4 linked regions of the Mus musculus genome follow. The protein of the gene in region 4 binds, or shares a complex with, the protein of the main gene of each other region. Links are inferred from orthologs where the notes say so. Each region holds a gene or a part of one and is shown on either strand. Other genes may lie near its edges.

Region 1 (4,298 bases), on a different chromosome or scaffold from region 4:
ACCTGGCCCATAGCTGGACTTCATTACAAAGCCCTGTCTTAGGGATAAATAAATTAATAAATGGAGCTGGAGAGCTGGCTTAGCAGTTCAGAGCACTGGCGGTTCCTCTAGAGGATCCTGGTTTAATTCCCAGGGCCCATAGGGCAGTTTACAACTGTCTATAACTCCAGTTCCAGGGGATCCGAGGCACCAGGCATCACATAGTATACATATATGTGCATGTAGGCAAAGTACCCACACACAGAGAATAAAATAAGCAAAGCAGCAAGGTAAGTACATAAATAGTAAAAGCAGGCGTGGTGGCTCACAACTGCAGTCTCAGCGCTGAGCAGGCACAGGCTGGAAGACCGAAACACAAAGTCTTTAAGGTCATCCTAGGCTACAAAACCAAGCCATCCTGGATGACATGACATGCAGTCTCAAGAAACTAAAAGGGTATGTGTTGGTGGCCTGGGGGAAGAGTCTTGACCATCTGAAGAATAAAAGAGTGCAATGATGTTAAAACAAAACAAAACTTCCAAAGCAAAAACTTTTGCATTAGTTACCTAATGAGAGTGTGTTAGAAGCCCTCCCCAGGCTGGGTGGCTGGCGGTAGTAGCAGAGGGGAGGGAGAGGTTGACAAATCTCTGAGTTCGAGGCCAACCTGGTCAACAGAGCAAGTTATTTGACAGCCAGCGCTACACAGAGAAACCCTGTTCTAACAAATAGAAAGAAACGCTTTCCAGATGTTTAAATAAGATTTGCCGAGTCTCCACCTCTTTCATGAGAATCCTCTACTGACATTCCACGGGGGAAGCTGGAGCCTGCGCTCCCCTCCCACTCCCACCAGGCCCCATCGCACCTCCCCCTCTCTCATCCCTTCAGTTTCCCTAGGTGCGCATTTTGCTTAGTCAGCCTTTCATGTCGTAACTAAGACTACTACGCAAGTCCGGTTCGCAACCTTGACTGCGCATCCTTCCTAGCGTCTTCTCGTGGCTTATTTCCTTGCAGTTAACAATTACTTTACTTGCTTGCTTTGTTTTCTCTAAGTGCATGAAATTTCAACAAAACGCTTCCACTGGCATTCAGACGTGCATGACTTAAGTCTGGGCCTCACGTCTGTAGTCCCAGCTTCGTAGCTGGCTGAACTGGGCTTACAGCTTGGGCAGGCAACATAGCAATAACCCATCTCAAAAAGAATAAAAAAGCTGTAGGATTTAGTTAAAGCTTTGTTTATTCACTTACTAATTTTAATAGTAAAACGATTGGAGCAAATTAAAAAAAAAAAAAATCAAGGATGGGTAATGAGATAGCTCAGCAGGTAAAGACTCCTGCAGCCAACCCTGGGAATCCAAGCTGGATTCCCGGGACAGTGACAGGAGGGAACTGACCCCTCCAAGTTGTCTTTTGACTTTACATGCCAGCGCTACGCTTTTGAGACTGAATAGCCCTGAGCTTGCTGTATAGGTCAGGGAAGGGGGGGGGCAATCCTGCCTCAGGTGGAGGTTAGAAACAAAATATTTACTAACAAACACCTAGTTAAAGTCATCACTCTGCCCATGTCATTATATGAACGGCAAGGGATGACCGTAAGGAAGCACTTGATTTATGCGAAAGTAAACACTAAACTGCAGCCAGTAAAATGTTTCCCTTACACAGGAGACAGCTGCAGTGTGGCAAAGAGTTGAGAAGCCTAACCCAGACAGGCGTGGCTTGGCTAGAGCAGGACCTGAGAATTCAACCAATCACCGCTTGCCCCGCCCTACCCCGCATCAAGTCTGCATAAAAACACTGGTACTTTCTGTCTTTACAGCTTGGTGATGTTCAAACTCAGCAGCGTACTGGGGTGTACAGAACTCCGCCTACAAGCCCTCAAAGGGGTTTTTTCTTCAGCCACCTTTCCATTCAGAAAATGACCAGCACCAGAAACAGGCTCTGGACTCTTGTTGTCCGGCAAACACAGTGCCTGCACGGCTGCCTTTCTAGGGAAACCTGGAGAAACTGAATAAAACTATCTAGAAAGTTAAGCATGCGCAGGCCAAAGGGACTTTTGTTTCCAACCCTCGTGGCTCCTTAAGATCCAAGCTGTGGGACTGAGAGTGGCTCAGTGGTTAAGTCCTTGCATGCAAGCACAAAGCCTTGGGTTTGATTCCCAGCACCCCATATACCCCAGCAGGGCGTTGCATAGCGAATCCCCGGCACTGGGAAGGTGAAGGCCGAGTATCAGTTGTTGAAAGACGACTTTGGCTATATAGTTTAAGGCAAGCCTGGGATACACGAGACTCTGCTCTCACACCCGGTCAAATGACCCAAACTGGGATCTCACTCCATCCTATCACCCCCAGGATCCGGGCGGGAACCACGCACCGACACGAGCGGGACGCGCAGGTGAGCCCCCTGCAGCCGGTTGAAGGTGGGGAACGTGCTCCAGGCGAGGAAGGCTTCAGGCTCCGGCCCCAGGAGAGCCACGAGCAGCACTTGGTGCTGGAAGCGCACGTTCGGCTGCTCCTCGTAGCTGCTCCGCTTCAGCCAAAACCCTGCGGGAGACAAGGCGGGTTGGGGGGAGCCAGGTTAGGATTGCCGGCCTGGGCCCGCCGGCCGCGCCGTGTGGCCCTCCAGGCCCGGGCAGGCTCACCGTGGCTCCGGAAGGCCACCAGCAGCGGGGGGATGTAGGTGAGCGCGGTGGTCAACAGCAGGAAGAGCGCGGCCTTGGAGCAGAGCCCCGCGCGGTAAGCGCGCTCGATTGGGTGAGAGAAGAGATGGTACAGCGCCATGAGCGCAGGGCCGCAGCGCCGAGTCTCCACGGCAACCGACGGCGGGCAGAGGAACCAATAGCAGGCATGCAGGCCTCTAGAAGGGGGTGGAGCTAGCAGGAGGAGGGTCCTGTGTTAGTGCTGTGCCTGCGCGTCTCTTCAAGAAGGCAACTGTATGGGCTGGTGAGATGGCTCAGCCGGTAAGAGCGCTGACTGCTCTTCCAAAGGTCCTGAGTCAAATCCCAGCAACCACATGGTGGCTCACAACCATCCATAATGAGATCTGACGCCCTCTTCCGGAATGTCTGAAGACAGCTACAGTGGTGTACTTACATATAATAAATAAATCTTAAAAAAAAAAAAAAGAAAGCAACTGTAATGATATTTTCACTCACCAAAGTCTGTGTCAATTGTACAAAATCAGACGTGCATAGATGTTGACATCACCCCATAGATCATCTATTAACTCATGACATAAGGATGGTTGATGTAGCTTAGTTGGTAGAGGGCTAGCCTACTATACAGGAAGCCCTGAGTTCATCTCCAGCACTTCATTAAACCAGGCACCTTGGCCCACATCTGTAACACTAACAACTCTTCAGGTGAAGACAGAAGGATCAGAAGTCCAAGGTCATCTTTAGCTACATTGTGAGTTTGAGACCAGCCAGAGATACTGGAGACTTTGTTTCAATGCAAAAACTCCATTGAGGTTCATACTGAAGTCGGGACATTCCTATAACAAGGCCACCGTCCTAGAACCAGGTACTTTTGTCTTCAAGGTTAATGCTTTCACTATGCCCCATAGCAGGAAAGATAGAAAACAGGAAACAAACCCCCTGATTATTTAAAGGTTAGAACAAAAACAAAAAATAAAAGGCCGGGCGTAGTGGTGCACGCCTTTAATCCCAGCACTCAGGAGGCAGAGGCAGGCGGATTTCTGAGTTTGAGGCCAGCCTGGTCTACAAAGTGAGTTTCAGAACAGCCGGGGCTACACAGAGAAACCCTGTCTCGGAAAAAAAAAAAAAAAAAAAAAGGTTAAAGGGTATTTTACTAAATGGCTCCTTCTGTTGTACTTTGTTAGCTATAAACACTGATACTGTCTTCCCCAAAGTTAGCATTAGCTGATCACTTAGGTAAATACTAACACCAATATCTTAACATGGAAGACAGATTTTTACCTGTTTGGAAGTAGGGTCTTACTATGTAGCCTGTGCTGGCCCTCAATTCTCCTTTCTCCAGGTCCTCTGCAAGAACAATCGGTGCTCTTAACAATTGGGTCATCTCTCCAGCTCCCACCATCTATCTTAATTCTGGAAAGGCTGTCCTCTGACCTCTACATGCCTGTCATGGTGCTCATCTGCATCTATGCACAAATAATGAATAAGTAAATGTAGTGTAACATGTAAGTAAGCTGGAGAGGCCGGTTTTCCAGAGGATCAAGGTTTGACTTTCAGCACCCACACAGGGGCTCAGAGCCAACTGTAACTCCAGTCCTAGGGGATCCAACAGCTTCTGTGGGCACTGCAGACACATGGTCCATAGACACACACGCAGGCAAAACACCCA
Region 2 (4,251 bases), on a different chromosome or scaffold from region 4:
ACCGTCTCTCTGCTCATGCGCAATCCAGGCCCAACCAGCCACCCCTTGGCGCTCTGAACGCGCGTGCGCAGACGTACTGCTTCGGTTACAGTGATTGGCGGGTGTGAGTGAGGAAGGCTGTTCTCTGCAGTGTAGTATGGTTTTGTGCATGCTCTATTTCTAGGCAATCTGTGAGCCCCTGACCCACCCCTGAAAACTTCCACTGGGGGGCGGGGATGTGAGGCAATTGTAAAATATACAAATCAAAAAGGTTTCTTTTTTTTCTTTTCATCATAATGAACCGCTTTGGAAGTGGAAAGCTGCAGAGTTTTCCATCCTCTCCTGTGATTTCTGTTAAACCTGAGAAAAACAGGGCAGTTGCATAGGCAGATAAAAGCAAGCTGTATTTACAACAGGCCTTCGGGCTGCCTTACCTAAAGTATGTATTACAGAAAGCATCCCTTCAACCTTTTATTACTGTGCTGTTAGGTGTATGTGACAATTCCCAACAATCACACTATGTGGCAGTTCTCCAGTCGGGGGTTTATTGGGATGGGAAATAGAGTTATCCTCTGGGAGAGGGAGGAGAACCAGGGACAGGGGAGAAAGGGAGAATGAGGCTTTTATTAGGCATTGTTGCGCTAACAGTCTGCAAGGCTGTGCACTTTAATAGGCAATATTCATGTATATCCAAATTTGGTTCTCAAACCAAGTGAGATGAGGTGTATATGTAGGGTGCTTTATGCACAATACAGAGAAAGTATGAAATCAAGATTCAGTAGGCAAGGTTTCTCCTAGACTTTTGTCATAAAGGTATTATATATAAAATCAATGAGGGTTTCTGTTTGTATTGCTTTGCTAAAACTCAAACTCAGGACTTGAAACAATCCCTACCCTTAGTGTTTTTTAAATAATGTAAAAACAAAGCCGGGCATGGTGGTGCACGCCTTTAATCCCAGCACTGTAGAGGCAGAGGCAGGCGGGATTTCTGAGTTCGTGGCTAGCCTGGCCTACAAAGTGAGTTCCAGGACAGCCAGGACTATACAGAGAAACCCTGTCTCGAAAATCAGAACAAAACAAACAAAAAAAGTAAAAACATAGGGCACCTCCTTTGTTGTCAAAATTAATCCCCTGGGTAAACTGTCATGTAGGTGTGATTGCCACTTTCATGAAACACTTTTAAGTGCTAAAACCATATATTTTCCATTGCTGTAGTAGTATTTCCTGACACGGTAAATTGACTGCGTCCCAGAGTTTTAAATACATTTTAAATAACCGCCCCTAATTTATTTAGCATATGTCTGATCCATTGTTTCCCGCGTGCGTGGTAACCTAGCAACCAGGCGTCGCAAGGTTGAGTTTTTTTTTTTTTTTTTTTTTTTTTTTCTGAACCCTGTTGTCCAATCAGCTCAGCGGACTCACCGAGGAGGCTGCTGGGGAGCTGGAGACTGCGGACCCAGGATATGGGTACCATGGTGACGCGTACAAGGCCTGTGGCGGCCATGGCGGTCAGATCTCGTTCTTCATCCCGGACTGGCACCGCCTACCTTCTCTTAGTTCTCTGCGAAGTCTCATGGGCACAAATCTTCTCCTTCCCTTTCCGGCGGCCTGAGACCTGCGACTTCAACCAGTACTTTGACATCTCGGCGCTCTCCTGTGCCCCCTGTGGCGCCAACCAGCGGCGGGATGCACTAGGTGAGGCGGTTTGGGGGTGGATGGACTCTGACCAAAATAAAGCACTCCTGACAGCCAGCACTCCAGACATTTTATTTGGAGAATGTTTCAGAAAATGCACAGCTATCAAACCTAAGAAAGGGTTTCCTGGGAGGATACGGCTGACACAATGAGATCAGTCACCCAGGCGCCACCACCCTACCCTCCTCCAGGAACTCATTCCCCGGAGTCAGTCTCTGGCAGGGAATCCTTAGGATGGCACCTGAAAGCCGCCTAAGAAAAGTAGAATAGAAATAGAAAAGAAATAACCTGAGGCGTCTAGTGAGGTACCCTGACAGGAAAGCAAGGGAAGAAATGTGAATTAGTAAACTCTTGTGACCATTAATTCTACTTCCAAATTCAAGATATTTAAAGCTGTTTGCAACTGTGACTATAATCAGATTTTGTAAGCAAAGGAAACTGAAACCGAGATGTTGTGACATCTGTGTGACATATACTGGAAACTAAGAGAACTCTTGTCTCTTCCTCACTTTCTTTTTTGTTTTTTGTTTTGTTTTGTTTTTCGACACAGGGTTTCTCTGTGTAGCCCTGGCTGTCCTGGAACTCTCACTTTGTAGGCCAGGCTGGCCTCGAACTCAGAAATCCGCCTGCCTCTGCCTCCTGAGTGCTGGGATTAAAGGCGTGGGCCAGGACACCTGGCTTCCCTCACTTTCTACCTCTGCATTCCCAGCGCGTGGCTTTGCATCTGTGGTTACATATTCCCTTAGGACCTGTCCCTTTTATTGTTGATGACTTCTGTTTGCTCACATTGTCCTTTTAGACTTAATTGCATCGATTGGTCTAGTTCTCCCTTAACTACTCAGAATGAGTCTTTTCCTATTTACTGAAGTCTAAAATGCTGTGAATCTCAGACTGGTTAACTCTCCTGCTTTAGGCCTGGTAGAGTCTCACTTAAGGCAGTGCGGATCACTGTGTCAGAAGATGGAGTGTGAAGAGCAAACGTGTTCTGCATTGTATTGCTTTCATGACAATGAATGAAGACGTGTGTGTTGTACATAGACTCCTACAGGTGCTGGCTCTACTTAGTCCTTAGAGAATTCTTTCTTTAACTAGCTGAGTCTACTTGTAATTACAAACAACATTTATTTTCTTTCTAGAGAAAGAGTATTTGAATGAAAGCAATTTTCCAATAAGATATTGACAAAATTAAAACTCACTAAACACACATACATATGGTTTAGTGATGCAGAAATGTAATTCCTAGAGCAAGTAAGTAGTTTTCATAGTTCAATAATAATTGCAGTTTAAAAAGTAGCAACATGATGCCAGACATATTTCTAAACTTTGACCCTATTAGGTAGGTCCTGTTTTTTTCTCCATTTTACTAAACAAGAAGCCGAAGTATAGAATTCATTAACCCACTCAGTGTTTGCATGTATACGCACAGACCCATAGACACATATACATGCACAGACAGACAGACAGAGAGACAGACAGACAAAGACACCTGTTGTCTCTCATATAATGCCCAGTCTGGCCTCGCACTGTCTGTGAGCAGGGATACCCTTGAAGTACTGCCTGAACTTCCTGCCTCTTCCTCCTAAATACTGAGGTTACAGGTATACACCACCACTCCAAGCTTCAAAATCCTAAGAACTGTTAAGTTTGTGTCTTGGAGTTTTGTTTGCTAAGGACAATATCAGCTTTGTTTTTTTTTTTTTCTTTTTCTTTTCAGGAACTTCCTGTGTATGTCTACCAGGATATCATATGATCTCTAATAATGGAGGACCTTCTATTATTTGTAAAAAGTGTCCAGAAAACATGGTATGAATAATTTATTTTAAAATAACTTTTGAGAAAAAGTCATAAATGTCTATCTCTCAGACTTCAGTATAATTTCCCATTTGTTCACATACTTTAAACTTTTTTTGTTTTGGGTTTTTTGTTGTTGTTTTTTTGTTTTGCTTTTTTTGTTTTGTTTTTTTTTTTGTTTTTTTGTTTTTTTGTTTTTTTTTGGTTTTTTGAGACAGGGTTTCTCTGTGTAGCCTTGGCTGTACTGGAACTCACTCTGTAGACCAGGCTGGCCTAGAACTCAGAAATCCGCCTGCCTCTGCCTCCCAAGTGCTGGGATTAAAGGCGTGCGCCACCACGCCCCGCTACTTTAAACTTATTAAGGTAATTTTATTAGTATACATTTTGAGAGATCAGTAAAGCAAAGAAGAAAACTTTGGGGAAAAAAGACAAATTCATTTTGTTCTGAAAGTGGTTGAGTCAGATATCCCAAGTACAAAGCTGTGAAAAAAAATCTTTCTGTTTGCCTCACAGAATAACTAGGGTATAAAGAGAAGCTGAGTATTCCCTATGTAGAGCCATTCGGGGTAAAATGTCTTTGCTGTAGATGGCATTCGCTGTCTTAGATGTACTGTGCTGATCGTCTTAAATGATGCTTGATCCTCCTAATGCTACATGAGGTTCAGCAATCCTCATGCTACATTAGGTACAGCAAGTCGATGCATTGCCGGTTGCATCAATAGAAATGGAATCATTCGAAGTTTGCTTAGTTTCCTCATTACATAATGGTTCAGGGAAATTCGACTA
Region 3 (4,219 bases), on a different chromosome or scaffold from region 4:
CACTTTGAGTACCCCACCCCAGTGTCTCCCTAAGGTGGCTGCAGGGGTCTACACGTCTCCTTCAGAGCAGATTCCAAGGAAGGACTGTTGGCAGCCTTGTCCCTTTCCTCACATGCAGCCGGTTGCTGAACTCAAAGTCGTAAGATCCTGACCAATAATCAAATGTTCCTAATTTGGCTTATGATGTCCTTTTGTAATTTAAAATTTTACAATATAAGGTAATGCATTTATGACAGGATACAACAACAACATGGAGGAAAGGCAGGGACATCCCCCCACCCCCACCCAGACAGCAACTCAGACCTCAGCCACCCTGACAGCCACTGTGACTGAGTCTTCAGGACTCGCATCGATCAGGCAGAGAACCTCCACGAGAGCAGAAGGGAGAGCTTCCTCGCAGAGTACTGAGCACGCGATAGACTGGCTCAGTTTACTACTGTCTTTACTACCCTGCTCATTCTATCTCTGTCAATGGAGAAAACCCTCTCAAAGAAACAACAGAGGGCTAAAGAGGCGGGGTGATCGCGATAGAGCACTGGCTGCTCCTGCAGAGGATCTAACTTCGGTGTCCACAACCCACAGGACCGCTCACAACCATCTCTAACTCTGGCTCCAGGGGATCTCATGCCCTCTTCTGGCCTCTGAAGGTACGGGGCACGTATATGGCATACAGATAGATAAGATAATCTCAAAAAAAACCACAACATACAACAACAAGAAACAATATATAGCACAAAGATAACAAACTGAATTCATGGCACAGACTACTGTGAGGAGAGAGGAAATAATGCATCCAGGGCTTTGGCAATTTTGGTTGTTTGCTCTTTGCTTCCTGAAGCAGAGGCTACTTTGGGTCACAGGTGCCTTCCACCATGGTTCCTGCCTTTCCCCAGCTAAGGTGTCACTGAATCTGTTTGTTTGTTTGTTTCTTGTTGTTTTTCTTTGAGACAGGAATTCTCTGTGTAGCCCTGACTGGAACTCACTTTGTAGATCAGGCTGGCCTCACACTCAGAGATTCCCCCACCCCTCCCCAGGATTAAAGAGTGTACCACCTGCACAACCTGGCTTGATTTTTTTTTAATTTATTTATTTATATGAGTTACACTGTAGCTGTCTTCAGACACACCAGAAGAGGGCACCAGATCTCATTACAGATGGCTATGAGCCACCCATGTAGATGCTGGGATTTGAACTCAGGACCTCTGGAAGCGCAGTCAGTGTTCTTAACCACTGAGCCATCTCTCCAGCCCCCTGGGCTGCATCTTAACTGTAATGTTTGGTTTCCTTTTGGGGAAGAGGGGCAATAATCTCAGGCTTCAAACAAAGAATTTTAGCCAAATGCTGACGGGATGTCATAGCATTCTTATTTGTATGAATGAATGGTTTCAAAATTTACAAAAAAAAAAAAACCAAAACAAAAAAACAAGCTCTAGAGATGGGAGGCAGGCTGGGAGGCCCACACCTGGGAATCTCAGCAACTGGGAGGCAGAGTCAGGAAGATGTCAGGTTACAGGCCAGTCTGGGTCACTTAGCAAACCTGTCAGGAACAAAGTTAGGAAAGAAGGCGAAGGCAGGAGACTGGAATGGTTCTAGAACAGGCTGGGGAGATGGCTCAGGAGTTAAAAGCACATACTGCTTGTATACAGGACCTAACTTCTGTTCCCAGGACCCAAGTCAGCCAGCTCTCAAACAAACTCCAGCTCCCCACTTCGGTTCTCCAAGGGCGCCAATATATATCCACCCCATCCTCACAAACATATACAAATATGCACACACAATTTAAAATACTTTTTTAAGATTTAGAAAAAATTCCCCCCGAAAGTGGTATAACGCTCTGGAAAGGCACGAAGGGAAAGGGGAGTTTTATTGATAAATGAAAAATGCTTTCTTAGTCCGAAAGACAAATTAGCTCCTCCTTGACTAGGTCCTCTCTAGCCATGGACAACTGCGCGTACTCACTAAAAGAACGCCATACTCCCTTCACTGGGATGGGTAAAAGGGAGAGAGCAATTAAGTCCACTACCTCATGTGTTTAAATTTACAACCACGAATTGTTGCCAAAGCTTCAAATTCCGAGCGGTAAGTAGATACGGATGAAACAGGTGTGTTTAATAACTCCATTTAGCTGGTAAAAAATGTCTAAAACGCACTTAATCACCCTGAAAATATCTGCTGGGCTCTCAGTAATCTAGACACAACTGGGATGCCCATGTCCGTGTGTCTGCGTGGAGAGGACGAAGATCCACTTAGCACTCTTTCTTCTACCAGTACTGCCTTCAACTCATTCTGTAGGTTTCTATCTAGTACCCCACTGCAGCCGTCTGCAATGATGCGGAAAAGGGAGTAACTGAGCCCCGCCCTCCGCATTTGTGTGCCAGAGATCCGATCTCCCCCTGAGGGTAACGACAGGGAGGCTGAGAAGGGGGTAACTTTGAGCTGGTGTACCCGCTCCAGGGGGGTCACCCCTTTGTACCCACCGTCCGTGACCGGGGTAGGCCTGGGGCCAGAGCGCTCCGGTGCCCTGGGAGTTCCCGGGGTCCTAGGCGACAGGGAGGGCTGCAGAGTGGTGGGGGTGGCCTTGGTGGAATTGAGATCCTCCTTCGTCACTGCTGGGGTGGCCGCAGCCGGGATGGCAATGACCTGGGTGCTCGAAGAGGTGTAGCAGTTTAGGAGCACCAGCAGGAGCGGCGGGAGACCCCGCGACCCCATGGCCTAGCAGAGTAGCCCGCGCCGGGGAGCTAGGCCCGTCTGTTGCCCGGGCAACAGTCACAGCCTAGCGCTAGGTATCACGGGAAAGGGCTCGCGAGGCCAAACTGGTCTGCGGAAGAAGGTGGGGCCTGAAGTCAGACCCGCGAATGGGGCGGGAGCTGGGCGAGGCTATAGGCGGGGCCTGGGCGGAATCGGAGAGGAGGGGCGGGGCCGGTGGGGGCGGGGTATGAGACAGCTCTTTCTAAGGAGCCCTCAGAAAATCGGAAGATGTAAACTTCTGTTGTGACACTTTGGGTGCTGCGTGGTTGTTTTTTTTTTTTTTTTTAAAAATGTAGATTCCCAGCTATAGCCTCACAGAATTCGGAGTCAGTCAAGACTAGGGCAGAGCCTAGAAGAGAGTATTTCTAATAAAAGACCCGCAGCGCATGTTTAGAAGTGACTTGGTTCCTTTAAGTTACATTGAATTTCTTACCCCATGTAACACTTTCTTTACTTTCTTTGCCTTTGGATACATCGCAGGAGGTCGCCAGAGCACTTCTGTCCACGGATTTATTTATGATAAGAGAAACAAAAGAATTCTTAACTTTTTGGTTCTTTTAGACGGGATCTCTCTGTGCCTGACTAATCTCGAACCCAAGGCAGCCCTATGTCAGTGCCTCATGCCAGGCATGCACCACCGCATCCAACCTCCATATCTGCCTTTATGATTATATCATTTGGAATGTTCTTCTCATCGTGTGTGTGTGTGTGTGTGTGTGTGTGTGTGTGTGTGTGTGTGTGTGTTTACTGGTAGGGGGAGGATGGGGGAGGAATTTGAGACAGGGTTTCTCTCTGTAGACCTGACTGTCCCAGAATGCACTCTGTGGACCAGTCTGGCCTCGAACTCGGAGAACCACCTGCCTCTGTCTCTCAGGTATTTTTTAAGGGTTAGTTATGTTTTGTTTTGTTTTGTTTTTTGTATATGGTGTTGTGTCTGTATGTATGTACACCAGCAGAGGGCATCAGATCCCATGAGACAGTCATAGACATGACATGAGCCACCAAGTGGTTGCTGGGAATTGAACTCAGGACCTCTGGAAGAGCAGCCCAAGCTCTTAACCGCTGAGCCATCTCTCCAGCCCTTCCTTAAGTCTTACAGCCCTGTGCTTCAAATCATTCTGTGAAAAGTTCTCAAAATCCTTTTATCCAGTCTCAAGCCTCAATGTAATTTTCTGACATTTGACTTCAAGGTGTAGACTGTTATCTGCTCATACATTTCGAAAGCCTTAGGGGACAGTGGGGACTCATTTGTTAGTTTCTTTCTTTCTTTCTTTCCATCATAATTCACTGAGTCCATCTAGGGGCTAGAGAGATGACTCAGCCATTAGGAGCCCTTGCTGCTTGGAGAAGACCAGGGTTTAGTTCTCAGCACCAGCATGGTGGCTTCTCACCTGTGTTACTCCAGCTCTAAAGGATATAAACCGGTCCTCTGGTCCCTGGGGGCACCTGCATGAGTGTGTGCACCCAAATA
Region 4 (4,026 bases):
ACTTCACTGGATGCATAATTCTTAGAACTCAAGTCACAAAAGCACATTCTGTGTAATGAATAAACGCATGAGCACAAAATCTTGTATTTTCCAATCTGGGAGGATTTGAAAACAATTTAAAATAATGCAATTAATAACAACTACAAGAAAATTCAAAAACAAGGAAATATAAAAGGATATATATATACCTCCAGTTCATTTTCCAGTTTCATTACTTTTGTCTTTAATTGATTTTCTATTTAAAAAAAAACACAAATGTTTTAATTGGTTAAGTTTCCTATAATCAGATTTTAAGTAAACTTTAATAAAATAGTACTGTTCTCTGTAAAAGATTCCATCCTTAACAGATACAGGAAAGTAATTATTATATACTAAATGCATAAAATATGCATTCTAGAAATGCCTCATGTAGAGAGCAGAGGAAGGCTTCAGTGCATGAGCCCTGAGTCAGTGTGTACTACTGACATGGGCAAAGCCACGTCAGGAACTCCAAATGTCTCAGGCCTATGGCAAACGGCAAAGCCTTCCCTCCTCGTCTGACTGTGGATGTTGACAGGGTGTGCAGAAAATGTCCCCCTAATGTTTATGGCTCCCTTATAGAGACTACTCCTACTGAGATTTGATAAATCTGCCTCCCTATTCAACAGCAGAAACCCTGCCTTCATGTTTATCTGTATGCACTCACTCGACTTTATGTTCAGCTATGCAACAACTCCACTGCTCTGGTCAAGTGGATATAATACAGACAGTGAGCTTCTGGGGTGGGGCAGTTGCTCCATTAGAGAGCCTGGTCCAACCGAAAACAACTGTTCTAAGTGTCTGTGTGTTTTCTTTTCTTCACCCCCTACCACAGCACTCAGGCCAGTACCTGGAACTGCACAAGGATGTAGCATCTTTCAGTATAAATTGAATACATATGTTATAGAATAGGATAGATTTTATACTGTCTAATAAGTAATGGAACCACAGTAGTTTTTTCCCAAGACATTTACCAAATTTTGCTTGTTCTTCTCCAGCCTTTTCAACTTCTTCCAAAGCGAGCTCTACTTCCTGGGCTTTCATCTGAACATTAAAACGAGAGGGGAAGAATCTGTATTATTTACACTGTAATGTAAACAGTGGGAATGGAAACTGTGTGGAATTTGCTATCTCAGTCTGTAGTGTGTACGATGACTAACACACAGAGACAGTCAGTAAATAGTTGTTGAATAAATACATAAGGCTAGAAATTCCAGAATGGCAAGACTTTGAATTATATCTGATTTTTCCGTTAAACTTTATAGCCATTACTTAAAATGTTTTCAATATCTTTTTTACTATCCCAATTGTTATTATTAATAAATTTAGTAATTCCTTCTTATAATTGGAACTAATCAGCTCTCATCCCTTCAGTCTATACAACACATTTAATGTTGCCTTCATAAGTACATTTCTTTACCAAGTATGATTTAAAAACCTTTATTCCCTTCTAAAATGCTGATAACCAAAATATACTCTCAAACTCTTGAACAGTATATCCCAAATTACTGGCCCCAAATATTTTTCTATATGCTTTTACCTTAATGTAAAGAATACATATTCTTTCTCAGTATTTATTTATGAAGAATCTAGAATCCTCTTATCATTTCATGTATAGCTTATAGGGGAGAGATTTTGTATTTTATTTGACCATATGATTCTTTATGACTCTTTATGTTTCTCCTAAAAAATATTTCTTTTCCTACACACTCTTTCCTACAAACCTTCATTAGAGACTGGGTAATTCTGAATAGATGTATCATGTTTTCTTGGTCTTCATTTTTTAGTTCATTTACTTCCACCTAAGGAAACAAACACACAAAAAATGGACTATTTCATACCCTGCACATTAAATACAAGCACTCTTCCAGTTATAGCATTCAATGATTTCAAGAAGCAATTTCAATTCATGACATTGTACATCAGGCTCTGTGTACAAATCATTTATTAAGTACCTTGGATAAAGATATCAATAATTTATCTGCTAACTCTTCTTGCCGTGGCAGGTCATCTGGATCAACTTTGATTAATTCTTTCCACTTTATATTAGGTGGCATCTTGAATTCTTTCACTGTCTCTCAGCCTCTACAAAGAAGCAGGTGGATTTTAGCATTTTCAAGGAAAATGGCCTTGCAGTGTTTACATGATCATGAGCGGTCTTACTTAACTCTCTAGGTGCTGGCTAAGAGCTATGGCTCCTGAACTGCAAAACAGATGCAGAGGCAAACAGCCTCGACGAAAATTAGTTCCCCTGACACAGGCTATACGATAATGTACACGCTAAATTATTATTTTCTTGCTAAGACGAATTCGGAGCTAAAACCCCGAGGCCCCTTTTCCAAGTCCCCTACCATCAATGATGGTACCAACTCCCAAGATGTTTGGAAGTTTTTGAAAACCTTCTGAGGAAAGGGGACCAGAGGATTTTTAAAGTAGATAAAAAGACTGAGCTAAATGAAGTGTTTGCGGAATCAAGCTCAATCAGGGAGGCCGAGACGACACTGCAGACAAGAGCGACAGAGGTCTGGATAGGTAGGGCTGCACCCTGTCCCTCGGGATTACGATCCTGTGAACGACACTAAGCGGCTCCGGCTCACGAGGATCCACCCACCGAAACCAAGACCTGCCACCAGCAGCAGTCACTCATCTACAGCGACCACCTCCGGGTTCGGCCACCGCCCCGGCCTCACGCTTCCCAGAGCGGTCCTCGCGCACTCAGGCTGCTCCCGCCAACTCTTCCCGACCGAGCCGAAGCGGCGCCGGCTGCTAGGCGACACCACTCCCCGCCCCCCAGCCTGCCAAGACCGGAACTAGGCCCCGGGATACCTGGGAAGACTACATTTCACGACCCTGGAAAAAGCTTTACGGCTCTATTTCCCCTCCAAGCCCTCCTTACTGTGGATGAGGGAGAGCCGTGAGATGAGGACTCTACGTCCCAGAGTGCAGTTCGGCGTCGCGGCTGTGCATCCTGGGATTGGAAGTTTTTGGGAAGAGCGGCGCGTTCCCGGCGTGCAATGCGGGAGTCTGCGGCCGCCCTGGAAGAGCTGGGGGAAGGCTCGGGAGGCGGGAGGAGCGGCTGCTAAGGTGCGGCCGCCCCGGAGTCCGAGCGTGGCAGGCTATGACTGTGTTTTCTGCGGAGTCCTTCTCCGGTCCACCATCCCAGAAGCTTTCCTGAACCGTCTCCTGGCGGAGCCGCCCTCAGGTGAGGTCGGGGCGTGTCAACCCACAGCCAGGAGTAGCTCAGGGAACCTTTGCGTTTTTAGGGAAGCGCTAGCTTGGGGCTGCCGAAGGGCTGGCGGATCTTGCAGAGGTTTGGGAAAGAGTCCTCCGGCTACTCAGGTAGGTGCGAGGGGCTCCCAGTTAGTGGCTTCCCTAAGAGGGGAGTCAATAAAAGTTTCCAGCCTCCTTGGTGTCTGGGAAAGTGGAGCGCCCCCACCCCCACCGCACCCCCTGAGTTCACGCTCTGGTTGAGTGAAGAAGGAGCGTCAAGATGGGGCAGCCTCCTGCAGCAGCTTGCGGATTGTAGTGCTTATTAGGTTAATAAGAGTGGAGTGAAGGCCAAGGAAAGAGGAGCCTTAGTGCGCCCAAGGCTCTTAAGCCGGGCTGGAGGGAGGGAGGAGGGCCATGCCAAGCGATGGCATTTTGCTGTCATTTGCTGGGTACCAAGGGAGTTCTTGGGGGAAAGTGCCTTCTCCTTCTCAGATGTTAATCTTCTTACTCAGGGAACTGTTGCCAAATGCACAGCTATTCTACACCAGCAGGTAACTTTAGGAGCTGTAAGCATCTATTTGAAAGAGTGCGTCTCGTATATATGTATGAATGTATGTATGTATGTATACGTGGATAGATATATAAGGTACTTATACATATCATACATAATAGATATTAAGTAATTAAAAGAAAAATGTAGACAGTTACATTTTTCTTTTGAAAAGATTTCTGCGGTTGAGAAAAACAAATAGCACAAAAAAATGGTATTTGAAACAAATTTTAAAGACGTTCTTCAGA

Evidence for each region. The genes of interacting proteins can lie anywhere in the genome.
Region 1: Cep290 (region 4) and Tmem231 share a complex: the UniProt entries of both Homo sapiens proteins name them as parts of the tectonic-like complex. The link is inferred for Mus musculus from reciprocal best matches to the Homo sapiens genes CEP290 and TMEM231.
Region 2: Cep290 (region 4) and Tmem67 share a complex: the UniProt entries of both Homo sapiens proteins name them as parts of the tectonic-like complex. The link is inferred for Mus musculus from reciprocal best matches to the Homo sapiens genes CEP290 and TMEM67.
Region 3: Cep290 (region 4) and Tctn1 share a complex: the UniProt entries of both Homo sapiens proteins name them as parts of the tectonic-like complex. The link is inferred for Mus musculus from reciprocal best matches to the Homo sapiens genes CEP290 and TCTN1.

The regions. Positions count from the first base shown.
Region 1 is NC_000074.6:111,931,014-111,935,311, forward strand, and holds the start of Tmem231 (transmembrane protein 231), read right to left. Parts: upstream 2,801-4,298; 5' UTR 2,754-2,800; coding exon 2,615-2,753; intron 2,517-2,614; coding exon 2,347-2,516; intron 1-2,346. UniProt on the Homo sapiens protein: Transmembrane component of the tectonic-like complex, a complex localized at the transition zone of primary cilia and acting as a barrier that prevents diffusion of transmembrane proteins between the cilia and plasma membranes.
Region 2 is NC_000070.6:12,085,138-12,089,388, reverse strand, and holds the start of Tmem67 (meckelin precursor), read left to right. Parts: upstream 1-1,451; coding exon 1,452-1,674; intron 1,675-3,388; coding exon 3,389-3,477; intron 3,478-4,251. UniProt on the Homo sapiens protein: Required for ciliary structure and function. Part of the tectonic-like complex which is required for tissue-specific ciliogenesis and may regulate ciliary membrane composition.
Region 3 is NC_000071.6:122,261,661-122,265,879, forward strand, and holds the start of Tctn1 (tectonic-1 precursor), read right to left. Parts: upstream 2,801-4,219; 5' UTR 2,710-2,800; coding exon 2,478-2,709; intron 1-2,477. UniProt on the Homo sapiens protein: Component of the tectonic-like complex, a complex localized at the transition zone of primary cilia and acting as a barrier that prevents diffusion of transmembrane proteins between the cilia and plasma membranes.
Region 4 is NC_000076.6:100,486,356-100,490,381, reverse strand, and holds the start of Cep290 (centrosomal protein of 290 kDa), read right to left. Parts: upstream 2,801-4,026; 5' UTR 2,630-2,800; intron 2,104-2,629; 5' UTR 2,076-2,103; coding exon 1,974-2,075; intron 1,821-1,973; coding exon 1,743-1,820; intron 1,063-1,742; coding exon 993-1,062; intron 236-992; coding exon 189-235; intron 1-188. UniProt on the Homo sapiens protein: Involved in early and late steps in cilia formation. Its association with CCP110 is required for inhibition of primary cilia formation by CCP110.